3 linked regions of the Caenorhabditis elegans genome follow. The protein of the gene in region 2 purifies or fractionates together with the protein of the main gene of each other region. This does not show direct contact. Each region holds a gene or a part of one and is shown on either strand. Other genes may lie near its edges.

Region 1 (3,756 bases), on a different chromosome or scaffold from region 2:
AATAAAAATGCAAGTTAAGAAAGCAATATTTAAATACAAATTAACCAGATCTGAAATCGCGTTTTGTTGTATCGGAAAGGGGATCGACCATCGATTCGGTAGCTTTCGTATCAGTGTTTATCTGAACAAAAAGTTGATTATCTACAATCATAGGGAGATACAGACAAAACAAAAAATAATTAAAATCAATCTAACTTATGATTGAAAGTATCACTTACCACCCATTTCAACATCTCCACTTGCTCCATCGTGTTCCATACTTTCTTCTCCGTTCTTTTGCTCCGTTCCGTCATGTGCATTCGCCATTCGTTCGTTGAAGCTCTCGTTCAAGTCAACTTCTTCAGTATTGGGACCCGTCTCATCATCGTCCTGAATAACAGTAAATTATTATATTCAGATAATGCTAGATTCTACCCACCTCTTCCTCCTCGTCATCATCCTGCCCATCATCATGCAATGGCATAAGATCATCCTCATCGAATACTTTGTTTGCCTCTTCATCAACCGGCTCGGCGACTGGATCCTCATCAGTCCACCGAATTGGGAATGTGGTGACGCGAAGATCTTCGGTTTCGATTTTACGGGAAAGCTGAAAATTTTTGAAAATTCAAGGTCAAAACTGAATTATCTACATTTTTTAACTGAAGGAACTTTGAGATTAATTTAGAGCATTTCACTTTTTCCCTCTTTCCACAACAGATGGTTTATTACGTCATCCCATACAGTACATCTGTGTGCGTGAGCCCGATCGATGATGTCCATCTGCTCGACAGGTAGCGTGCACAACGTATTCAGTTCTCTCATTGTCATTGTCTCACTCTCAACTATTTTTCGTTCTTTATTTTTAATTATTTCATTAGTTTCATTGCTCGTTTAATAATATTTATTTATTTCCTTCAGATTGTGAAAATGAAAGCTACTGCAGCGCAAAATAATTCAACTCATGCTAGTGTAGCGACCAAAAATAGCAACTACAGAGGCGCTACATACATTTTCGACAAAGCTATCGGAGGAATTGTTTATGCAAGTTTTATAATTGCCGGAGCAATCGTCTTCGTTGGAAGTAAGGTGGAGGGCTTTATTGGACTCGACGAAAACCGTTCTGACGATCAGGAATGGACTGTCATTAGACAATAACTGGTGCTTGATTTATCAAAAATAATTTTGTGTGAATGACTTTTGAAATAAAGTGTTTTTTTCCTGAAAAGAACAGAACCTTTTCGATGAGCGGCTTTGCAGGCGGATTCTCTTTGAGCTCTTCGTCGGTGTACTCATTTGCCACAAACCATCCCATATTGATGAACTCCTGATCGTTGTACTTGCAACGAAGGAGAAGCACACTGACACCAACAATATCCTCGACTGGAATCTTTGAGATATCCGGGTGTTCTGCATCAAAGACAAACTTGTGACGTCCTTCAGGAATCGGGCCAACGAGCGCGGAATCGAGAACTTGGTCGAAGTCTCGGGAGGTTCCAGATCCAACGTACACCAATTCCCATTCGAGATCTGATTATTCTTAATTTTTATGCAGTGTAAATAATATACATACCATGTGGTAAGTGCTCAAAAACTTCAAAAGTGATCTCCATTTTGAACTTGTCGACAAACATCGCTGGATTATCGAGAATTTGGACTTGAACGATGTTAACACGTGAAGCCATCTGAATAAAAAGCTCAAAATTAGAAATTAGAAAGCAGATTCATAAACTGTTCAAACGATAGTTTTTAAAAACGAGAAACAAATCAAAAATCCCGTAAAAAGTGGTTGAAAACTCCAGCTGGATCCAGTAAAATAAAATGTCGAAAAACTTTTTCCAACTACCGTAGTTTTTTTGCACAGACGAAGGCTAATCGTGGTGAAACCCATTGAGAAACAAATTCCTGTTTTTTTTTTGTTTTTTATTCGCAAAAACGTTGACTTTATTTTCTCGGCTTTAAAAGGCAAAACTAAAGAAAAATAATACATTGAATTAGTAAAAAATTAATTGTTTTCAAATTATAGAAATTATTAAAACGAGCAAGTCAGGACGAAAATTAGAATTTTTGACCTCTCCAAGATGCGCGAAAATTTATTTTTCATTTTGTCTTTCTCAATTTCCCGTTTCACTCGATCCTCGACTTTATTCAACAATGGTGAGCCATAAGAAAAATGATCGTCCTCGCCCATTGTGGATCTTGAAAATCCATAAACGGCTTAGGTAAGCATTCAGAAGTTCCAATATTTCAAAAAGTGGTAATTTTTAGCTTGTTTGAGTTCAAGCGTTATGCAACAGGAATTGGCAAAGACGACGGACAAGACATCTCGTGGGTGCTGAAAGGAAATGCAAAGAACAATGTGTATCAGGTGATTCATTTTATTTTATATTTCCTACAAAGCTAACATTTAATAGGTTACTGTTGAAACTATGGAGAATTGTGAAACGGACGAGTGCAAGAAAGTGATCTGGGTGCCCGATGAGTTGGCAGAATCCACCGGAACGATGTTCGAAGATTTCAAGGAAGACCAACCTCAGGTATTTGACAAAACTTGTTTAGAATATATGTCAAGTCTGGAATTTTTCCAGGAATCTGTGTCTTCGATCAGTAATAATGAAGCAAATTGGGGGAGTTCTGTGAATGAATTGGACGAAAATTATGAAAAAATGCAGAAAGAGGAAACATTTGATCCATATGATTCGGATTCCGATACATCCGAGGATTCCGACTTCGATGAGGATTTTGAGGATTCTGATAAAACGATGTGTTCTGGTCAATCATGAAATTAACCATTAATCGAAAAACTTCAAACTCAAAAACGCTGTGAATAATTTTTTCAAGAAATAATGTAGTTTTAAATATTGTGATATACTAATGTGATATAAGAAATCTTAGTTTCTCGTTCAGATTCCCATTTATTCTCTCGAAGCATTGAATATATATATATATATATATTTATTCAAATCGTCGTAACAAAACAGAAAGTATAGAATAATCACCGGGAGAAACAGACTTGAATAATTTGAATGATCCTGTAAACCAAAAGTAGTTAAGGGGATCAAGTTGTGTGGGAAAAATAATTAAACGGGATAGAATTTAATCGTGATGCAAACATTTGACGGCTCATTGTCCCCGGAAGTAACTTGGACATACGGTTCCATAGGTGAAGATTGACTAGTAGGAAGCTTTCGTTGATTGATCCACAAGGGCACATCATGTACGGATATCTGGGCGAGCGAGCCTTCCTCACAGTTGATGCGGCATTCGGAAAGTGGTATTCACCAGACAGGATGTTGTGATAGGTCCTCAATATTTGAAGAATCCGCAGGTGTTGAACTGACTTTTGGTTCATCTGAGCTAGACGGTTTTCATATGATGAGTATGATAGATTGCAGCGTTGGAAGACTTTTCTCGAGAAAAACTTCAGTGGGAACTCCAGTTGTTTAATCATATTTTTAGAGATCGGGTTGTAGATTTCACATCCGTAGTTTAATATTGGCTGCACATAGATATTGTACAATTTGAAGTAAAGGCTGGCATTTGTTGAGCGGAAGGATCGAAGTAACTGCCGGCATTTGAGAAGGGCTAAGTTCGAAATGATGTTTATGTGCTTCTGGAAGTTCAGCTTGTCGTCGACGAAGATTCCAAGGTCTTTCACTGAGTCCTTTTTGGTGACTTTCATTCCGTTTGCATAATATTCATTTTTTGGATTCCGCTTTCCAAAGTGGATAACATTGGTTTTGTTTTCAGCAAGGTTCAATTTCCATTTTGCGCACC
Region 2 (3,756 bases):
TCCAATGGTCTCGATGGAATTGTAAGATCTCGTCTGGAAGCAGGTGTGATCCTCCGCATTGCATGTCCAAAATGCTCAGAAGTGATTTTAATGGTGGCAACGTCGAGTTTCAGCCTTTCAGAACACATGTAGATATGAGGATATCGAGATCTCAATCCAATAAGAACTGCTTCTGTGCACAAGAATTTCAAATCGGCACCGCAATATCCACTAGTTCTCTCTGCAATAGCATCGAGTGTTTCCGGAATCGGTTTGTTTTCCTCCCATTTGGAAGTGTGAATATCTAAAATTTGTCGTCGGGCATTCAAATCAGGAAGGGAAAAACGGAGTTCCCTATCAAAACGTCCTGGTCTTCGTAGAGCTGGATCAAGAGTATCTAATCGATTTGTAGCTCCAATTACAACAACTTCTCCTCGACCATCTAATCCGTCCATCAGTGCTAACAATGTACTCACTATGCTCGCATGAATTTGATCTTGTTTCGAAGAACGAACTGGAGCTAAACCATCGATTTCATCAAAAAAGATAATTGATGGACGCATGGCATATGCTTGATCAAACAATAGTCGAAGTTGTCTTTCAGACTCTCCGACCCATTTACTCAAACAATCAGCTCCTTTTCGCATAAAGAATGCAACTTTGTTGGCTCCTCTTCGGCATTCATTCGCAAGAGCACGTGCAACAAGAGTTTTTCCGGTTCCTGGGGGCCCATAGAATACGACACCTTTTGGCGGATTTATTCTGAACTTTTCAAATACTTCAGGATAAAGCATTGGGAAAAGGACAACTTCTTTGAGAGATTGAATATGATGACCGAGTCCTCCAACTTGATCGAAACCAACCGACGAATCAACACTCATTGGATCAATGTCACTTGCACCTTGACCAGCATCAGTTTTTCTCATTCGATCCATCAGAATGTGTTGGGCAGACTGCAATTCTTTTTCGGTCATATTGATCGGCATAAATCGACCACGTTCACGTTCTCCACGGTTATGCATATGAGGCCTCGATTGACGTTTATCAGGTCTCGGAAGCACCATATCATCACTATCAGAATCCGAATCGCTTCGTCTTCGACGAGATCCATTTCGATTGCGGTGATGTCTGTTTTGATTTGCAACCCGATGATGTTCAAGACGAGCCCGTCGATTTTCACGAGCTTCTGATGCATTGAACTGGACAACTGGTTGACGGCGGCGAAGACTGTATTGACGTGGAGCAGTTGATTCCTCTGAACTTTCTGCATTGCTGCTATCATCCTCTTCTTCTTCTGGATCTTTTTCACCGCTTTGCTCATCTTCTTCAGCGCCTTCCTCCTCTTCTTCCCTTCCAATTTTCTCAATCAAGTCCTCATTTTCTTGTTCAGCCATTCCATCAATTTCAGCAATTGGTAGCACAATCTCGCCACCTCCTTCCATTGGCAACGGATCATCTGCTGCTAGATTTTCCTCTGGTTGCTCACTTCCAAGGCGCTTGGCGGCTTTGCGAGTCCTGCGAACCGGCGACTCTTCCTGTTCTGAAACTGAAATTCGCTTATATTTTTGAAATTATGCGATTCGTGTACCTCCAAGTTCTTCGTGCATTGATGAACGTCTTCTGGTGCTACGTCGAGTTGCACGCTCGGGGACTGTGTTCTCAACGTGCGCCGCTTCAGCAAAATCTTCCTCTTCCTCGTCAGACAAATATATCCGCTTTCGTTTTGCAGGCGGCACTTTTTGATTTCGCTTGGATTCATCTATCGCCTGCATTACTTGTTGTCTGTATGTCATCGAATTCGAGCTTCTAAATTTTAACAATTATAATATTTTTTGTCAAAATTATCAAAAAACCTTCGAGTTCGATATCGTCTTTCATCTTCCTCGCTGCTAATTGCCTCATGATATTCCTCTTCGTAATAACGATTGTGATTAATTTTCCGTCCGGAACGTGTGTACCCATTTCCATCTACACCACCGCTGCTTCTCTGTAAATAGTCAATTTAAAAATGTATATGTTTTGAATTAACTCACTCTTCTGCTTGATGGTGCGTACATGTCATCAAAATCCTCGTTGCACTGACCCGCATACGAACGCGAGTGATCTCGAGCAGATCTCCGCAAATTTTTGCGCGGAGAAAATCCGTCTGAGCGAGGCATCTCTGAAAAGCTGAAATTTTCGAAAAATCGATAATGTAACAAGTGAAAATGATACGTAAAAATTCTTATTTTAATTTATCGAGATGAGAAAAGATAATAGTGGAGGAATAAGTAGATGTTTTAATCTAAGAATTCGGCTTTTGTTTTAAAATTATGGGAGAGTACAGAATGAAGCAGTAATCGATGAAACCGAAACTACTATATTTCCATTACGAAAAACGAAAGCTAAACTGTAAAAATCGGATGCATTTTATACAGAAAACATTTTCGAAAATGAAATCGTTGGGTGAAAAGTAAATGTGGAAATGAGAATGGCTGGAGAGAGCGAGCGATGGGAGAGGCAGGCACGAGGCGGGGAAAAGTGCATGAGAAGAGTGTAAATGCGCTCTATGGAAACACAAAATGAGAACTAGTTTAAAATTAATTTCTATAGACTGGGGAATTTAAATTCAAGAAAATTATAAGAAAAATAATCAATAATCAAATCAATTTGAAGAAAAATGGACGAAAGGAAAATTGTGGAAATTGACAATATTTACTCACTATCGTTGGCTAACCGAATTTCGAAATAATTAGAAAAAAATCTGATCAAAACCAATATTTAAGTTTAAAACCAATAAATTGTGAACAGAAGATACTCAGGATTTCATGTGGCATCAATTTTCAGATGTTTCACACAGTAAACTCTGAAAATTTTTACCTAAATTGAAATACCGTCGTTTTCTACGTATAAGGATGTAAAAATAATGTATTTGTGAAGGAAATTAAACAATTTATCGCAAAAAACGCATGCGCAAAACAAATGAAAACTGGAAAAAAGAAATCTGAAGACTACTGTAAGCATTTCAAGACCCAAGAGTTATTTTTGAAAATGTTCCTGTAAAGCAGGCCCAGAAATTATTTGGTGTCGTGTTTTCTGCGTTAAAAGCTTATGAAAATAACTTCAAAACATACTAAAAATTAAATTTATACCTATTGAACGTTTTTAATCGTAATTTATCTTTCCATCACGCCAGTGAAAGAAAAATTCTGATTTGAAAAAAAATAGGTGTAATCGCGCTCTATTGGACACAGACAAACTCTGAAGATTTACACGTAAACTATGCGAGTTTTTCGTTAATTTTTTGTTTTTATCTTATTTATTATAAAATTAAAGATATAAATGAATTAAATAATTGCATTAAACAATTTTCCGAAGCTGTAATTCTGAAATTATTGTCTTGAAAATATGTTATTGCCTCGTTTTCAATAGCTTTACTACAAAAATGCATCGTCAATTTGTTGGCTTTCTCTTAAAATCAATTAATTTCAGCAATGGGTGAATTCACCAATATAATCACTGTAATTCTTCTCATCACTCCATTTATTCTATGTGGAGAGTACGATTTTACAGTCGAAGTTCCTGCCGGAAAATTCCAGTGCTTTTTTCAACCTGTGGATCTTGCAAAACACAAAACCCTCGAAGTTGATTATCAGGTATTTTATAATTCTAAACCATTTGCTGCATTTTAAATCTTGATTTCAGGTAATCGACGGTGGTGACTTAAATATCAATTTCATGATACTTCACGGGGCGAACATTCTGAAGCAGGACCAGCTGAAAGTCGACGGATCCCAT
Region 3 (3,636 bases), on a different chromosome or scaffold from region 2:
TTTATTAAACAAAAGTTTTTTCAGTCTTCATCTTCACGACGTTACTGATGCTGAACAACAAGCACAACTTCTCGAAGGCCTATTCCGCGAAGCTTTTAAATACAACGAATCCGACATAGGTTCTTCTACACGCCGATTATTCTCTGTTATACTTCCCCCCGTGTCTTTCATTGATTCCCACTCGTCCCATTGGAGGATTATCTAACTTTTCAGGTCACCCGTAGCTACCGTAATCCTCGCCCGTTTCAGAGCCGGCTGTCAAACAAACATTGCACTTTCTACCGGAATTCCGAGAATTTGAAAAGCTAATGGATCAATTCTTCAATGTGGTCATTCGTCAGACACCAGAATACAAAAGCAAGTTGTTCGCTTTTTTCGCCAATCGGCGATGAACCGGACGAGAAAATGGATAGGATGTAGTAAAAATCGAGGAAAATCAAAAGTAGAACTCGCTAGACATTTTTAAAAATTCCAGTTATTTTCTTTTTAAATCAATTTCTTTACTGAAACGGTGTGATCTCTACAAATCAAGCTGACGTTCAAACTGTCATATCAATTTGCCTGTTTATTTTACTCCGGTGTATTATATATATAGTACAATCACAATAAACCAGTTTTATATAATTCAGTTGTTTGTTTTAAGAAAAACATTGAATGAATGACACTGTACAGTTTTATTCGGAAAACATTCAAAGTGAAAATTCTTGAAAAGAAAAAAAATGAAAGAACGAATTATGTGAATTTTTGACAGTCACTGAAAATCGGGTGGGAATAAAAATAAGTTCAAAATATATAAATTAACTGGAAGTGAAATCACTGGACCATTTCGTTGTTTGTCTTGTCTGAGAGTGGCTCCGCCATCGATTCCGGAACTTTCGTGTCAGTGTTGATCTGAACGCCAGGCTCGTCATCTATAATTACAGGGTGAGAAGCACACATCACGAAACAAGAAGGGGTTAGAGAAACCAAGTAACACTTACCAGCCATATCAACATCCTCATTTGCTCCATCGTCCTCCATTTTCTCATCTGCGCCTTTCTGTTCGGCCCCGTCAAGTGCATTGGCCAATCGTTCATTGAAGCTCTCGTTCAAATCCACTTCTTCAGCGTTGGCCTCCATCTCGTCATCATCCTGAATAAAATTATTTAATTTTTGAATAAGTAAAATTCATTTTCTCACCTCTTCCTCCTCATCGTCATCTTCCTGGCCATCATCATTCAGAGGCATGAGGTCATCTTCCGCGAATACTCTGTTAGCCTCATCCTCGACAGGCTCTGCGACCGGATCCTCATCAGTCCAGCGAATCGGGAATGTGGTGATGCGAAGATCTTCAGTTTCGACTTTGCGGGAAAGCTTTTCGATGAGTGGCTGCGATGGGGGATTCTCTTTGAGCTCTTCCTCGGTGTACTCATTTGCCACGAACCATCCCATATTGATAAACTCCTGATCGTTGTACTTGCAGCGCAGGAGAAGTACGCTGACACCGACGATATCATCGACTGGGATCTTCGAGATATCCGGATGATCCGCGTCGAACACAAACTTGTGGCGTCCTTCTGGAATTGGACCAACGAGCGCTGAATCGAGAACTTGGTCAAAGTCTCGGGATGTTCCGGATCCGACGTAGACCAATTCCCATTCGAGATCTGAAAATTATCATTATTATCGATGAGTTTATATTTTCCTCTTTCTTACCATGCGGCAAGTGCTCAAAAACTTCAAATGTGATCTCCAACTTGAATTTGTCGACAAACATCGCAGGATTGTCGAGAATTTGTACTTGAACAATGTTGACACGGGAAGCCATCTGAAAGAAAAATATAATTAATTATTTAGGAGCCCACTTTTTCAAAATAAAAGACAATTCACAACAGTATTGGCATGAAACAAAATAAAACTGAAAAAAAAATCATTTTTAACAAAAAGTGTATCAATTTTAGGTAAATGAAATTGCAAAAATGAATCCGCAAATGATGAGAAAAAATGAGAAATCAAAAATTCCCGCAATTATGTAAGTTAAAATGGTGGCGATTGGCGCGTACCGGTGGAGCGCGCTTGCATTTTGTTCTCTGCGTTTCGAGGGGGTACGTTTTCGTAAGGGGATTTTTTCGTAAGGAACGCTTTCAGTAGGGCAATGTGCGGCGCGCCTTTTCGCAAGCCCGCCACACAGTCCTTCGCAATGCGCCGCACGGCTTTTTGCAATGCGCCGCACGCTTCTTCGTATTTATTTATTTATTTTTCCAACAGGAAATTTCGAACGGAATTCAATTAAAAACGGATTTTTAATGGAAATTAATTAGTTTTATTCGAGCTAAATACGGATATTTTCAGAATTTTCGATGACAAAAACGGGTTTCAATCGATTTCGAATCGATTGCGAAGGACTGTGCGGCGGGCTTGCGAAAAGGCGCGCCGCACATTGCCCTACTGAAAGCGTTCCTTACGAAAAAATCCCCTTACGAAAACGTACCCCCTCTGCGTTTCTCTTTCTGCGCGTACCCTCGTGAATGTTTCACGGTGGGCCTGAAATGCAAAAATTATTCGGAATTGCCTCAAAATTTAGTAAAATCCGTACATTTAGTCTCGAAGACATTTTCTAATGCAGCGGAGTGTCCTGTCTTGAAAGTTATGGAAAAATGTAATTTCCAGATTTTAACAGCTTTTTTAATAACGTTTACGCGTTTGTAGATGAAATTCACCAAGTTTCATAATTATGTAGTCATTTTTTCATACGAAGAAAGCGAATCTCAAATCACTTGAAACTAGATGGAATGAATGAAATTGTACACGGAAACGTTGAAGTTGAGTAGAGCCGAGTTAATCTTTTTTTTTTCGCTATTCTTCTCTCGACTAATCGGAACCTGAGCAATTAACAAGAACATTAAAACCGTGATGCTTTTTATTTACAGAAAAAGATAGTACATTCGTACTTTTCGAACAAATAATACCGCAAAAATAATATCCGTATATGAATAATCGTGGAATAAAAATAATACTTGCTTTTAAGAAAATCGAGATACCATATACAATGAAGAGGTTAAACTATGCATGGCGAGTAATAATAATAAGCTAAAACGATTAAACTGGTCTCATTGGGGTTCTCATAGTGGAATTTTCCATTGTATTTCCAAGTCCCATCGGTTTCGGAGAGCTCAGTGGACATGCTTCTTTGAAATTGGCTCCTGGACGAATTACGATCTCTCCGTATGGCTCTGATTGATCAACACTTATTGCTTGAGACTTGGCCAGGGTAAGCAACGAATAAAATTGCTCTGCAGCTTGCTTGCGATTCTTGGCAGTTGCTGTGACAGATGAGAAGTCCGCTTGTCCCGAAGTCTCAATATCCGCGGAGACTTTCTTTAGAATGTGCTTGGCGCGTTTCGCCCATTTGCCATCGTCTTCCTTGTAGGTCGAAGTATTTCCGAATCCATAGGCTTCAAGCTGGCCACGTCTGCTGGAATTTGAAGAACCGAACGGATCAGACCAATCCTCTGCGTCCTCGTTCTCTTTGTTCTGTAAAATAATATTTTAAGAGTTGAAATTCGCACCAAAAATTACCTCTCCAGCGAATCCACTCTGGATAGGGATCGGAGCACACTCTTGATGTTCTACTTCTTGTGGAAAATCGAAGTTGTC

The links.
Region 1: the proteins of lex-1 (region 2) and asfl-1 fractionate together in Caenorhabditis elegans (co-fractionation; one large-scale study listed by BioGRID). This does not show direct contact.
Region 3: the proteins of lex-1 (region 2) and unc-85 fractionate together in Caenorhabditis elegans (co-fractionation; one large-scale study listed by BioGRID). This does not show direct contact.

What each region holds. Positions count from the first base shown.
Region 1 is NC_003279.8:9,656,182-9,659,937, reverse strand, and holds the start of asfl-1 (putative histone chaperone asf-1-like protein), read right to left. Parts: upstream 1,665-3,756; coding exon 1,553-1,664; intron 1,510-1,552; coding exon 1,217-1,509; intron 1,138-1,216; coding exon of another isoform or gene 910-1,137; intron 590-909; coding exon 419-589; intron 370-418; coding exon 219-369; intron 122-218; coding exon 111-121; 3' UTR 1-110. Other genes in the region: C03D6.9 (Aa_trans domain-containing protein), read left to right, coding at 910-1,137; lab-1 (Long arms of the bivalent protein 1), read left to right, coding at 2,134-2,201, 2,248-2,347, 2,394-2,516, 2,568-2,762. UniProt on the Caenorhabditis elegans protein: Histone chaperone that facilitates histone deposition and histone exchange and removal during nucleosome assembly and disassembly.
Region 2 is NC_003282.8:12,077,857-12,081,612, reverse strand, and holds the start of lex-1 (Tat-binding homolog 7), read right to left. Parts: upstream 2,141-3,756; 5' UTR 2,139-2,140; coding exon 2,013-2,138; intron 1,967-2,012; coding exon 1,833-1,966; intron 1,786-1,832; coding exon 1,568-1,785; intron 1,526-1,567; coding exon 1-1,525. Other genes in the region: tmed-1 (GOLD domain-containing protein), read left to right, coding at 3,453-3,614, 3,664-3,756. UniProt on the Caenorhabditis elegans protein: Thought to form a complex that enhances transcription from repetitive DNA sequences by modulating chromatin structure.
Region 3 is NC_003280.10:4,700,240-4,703,875, reverse strand, and holds unc-85 (putative histone chaperone asf-1), read right to left. Parts: upstream 1,808-3,636; coding exon 1,696-1,807; intron 1,647-1,695; coding exon 1,180-1,646; intron 1,132-1,179; coding exon 981-1,131; intron 912-980; coding exon 814-911; 3' UTR 657-813; downstream 1-656. Other genes in the region: F10G7.9 (C3H1-type domain-containing protein), read left to right, coding at 25-119, 250-392; scc-1 (Sister chromatid cohesion protein 1), read right to left, coding at 3,079-3,513, 3,559-3,636. UniProt on the Caenorhabditis elegans protein: Histone chaperone that facilitates histone deposition and histone exchange and removal during nucleosome assembly and disassembly.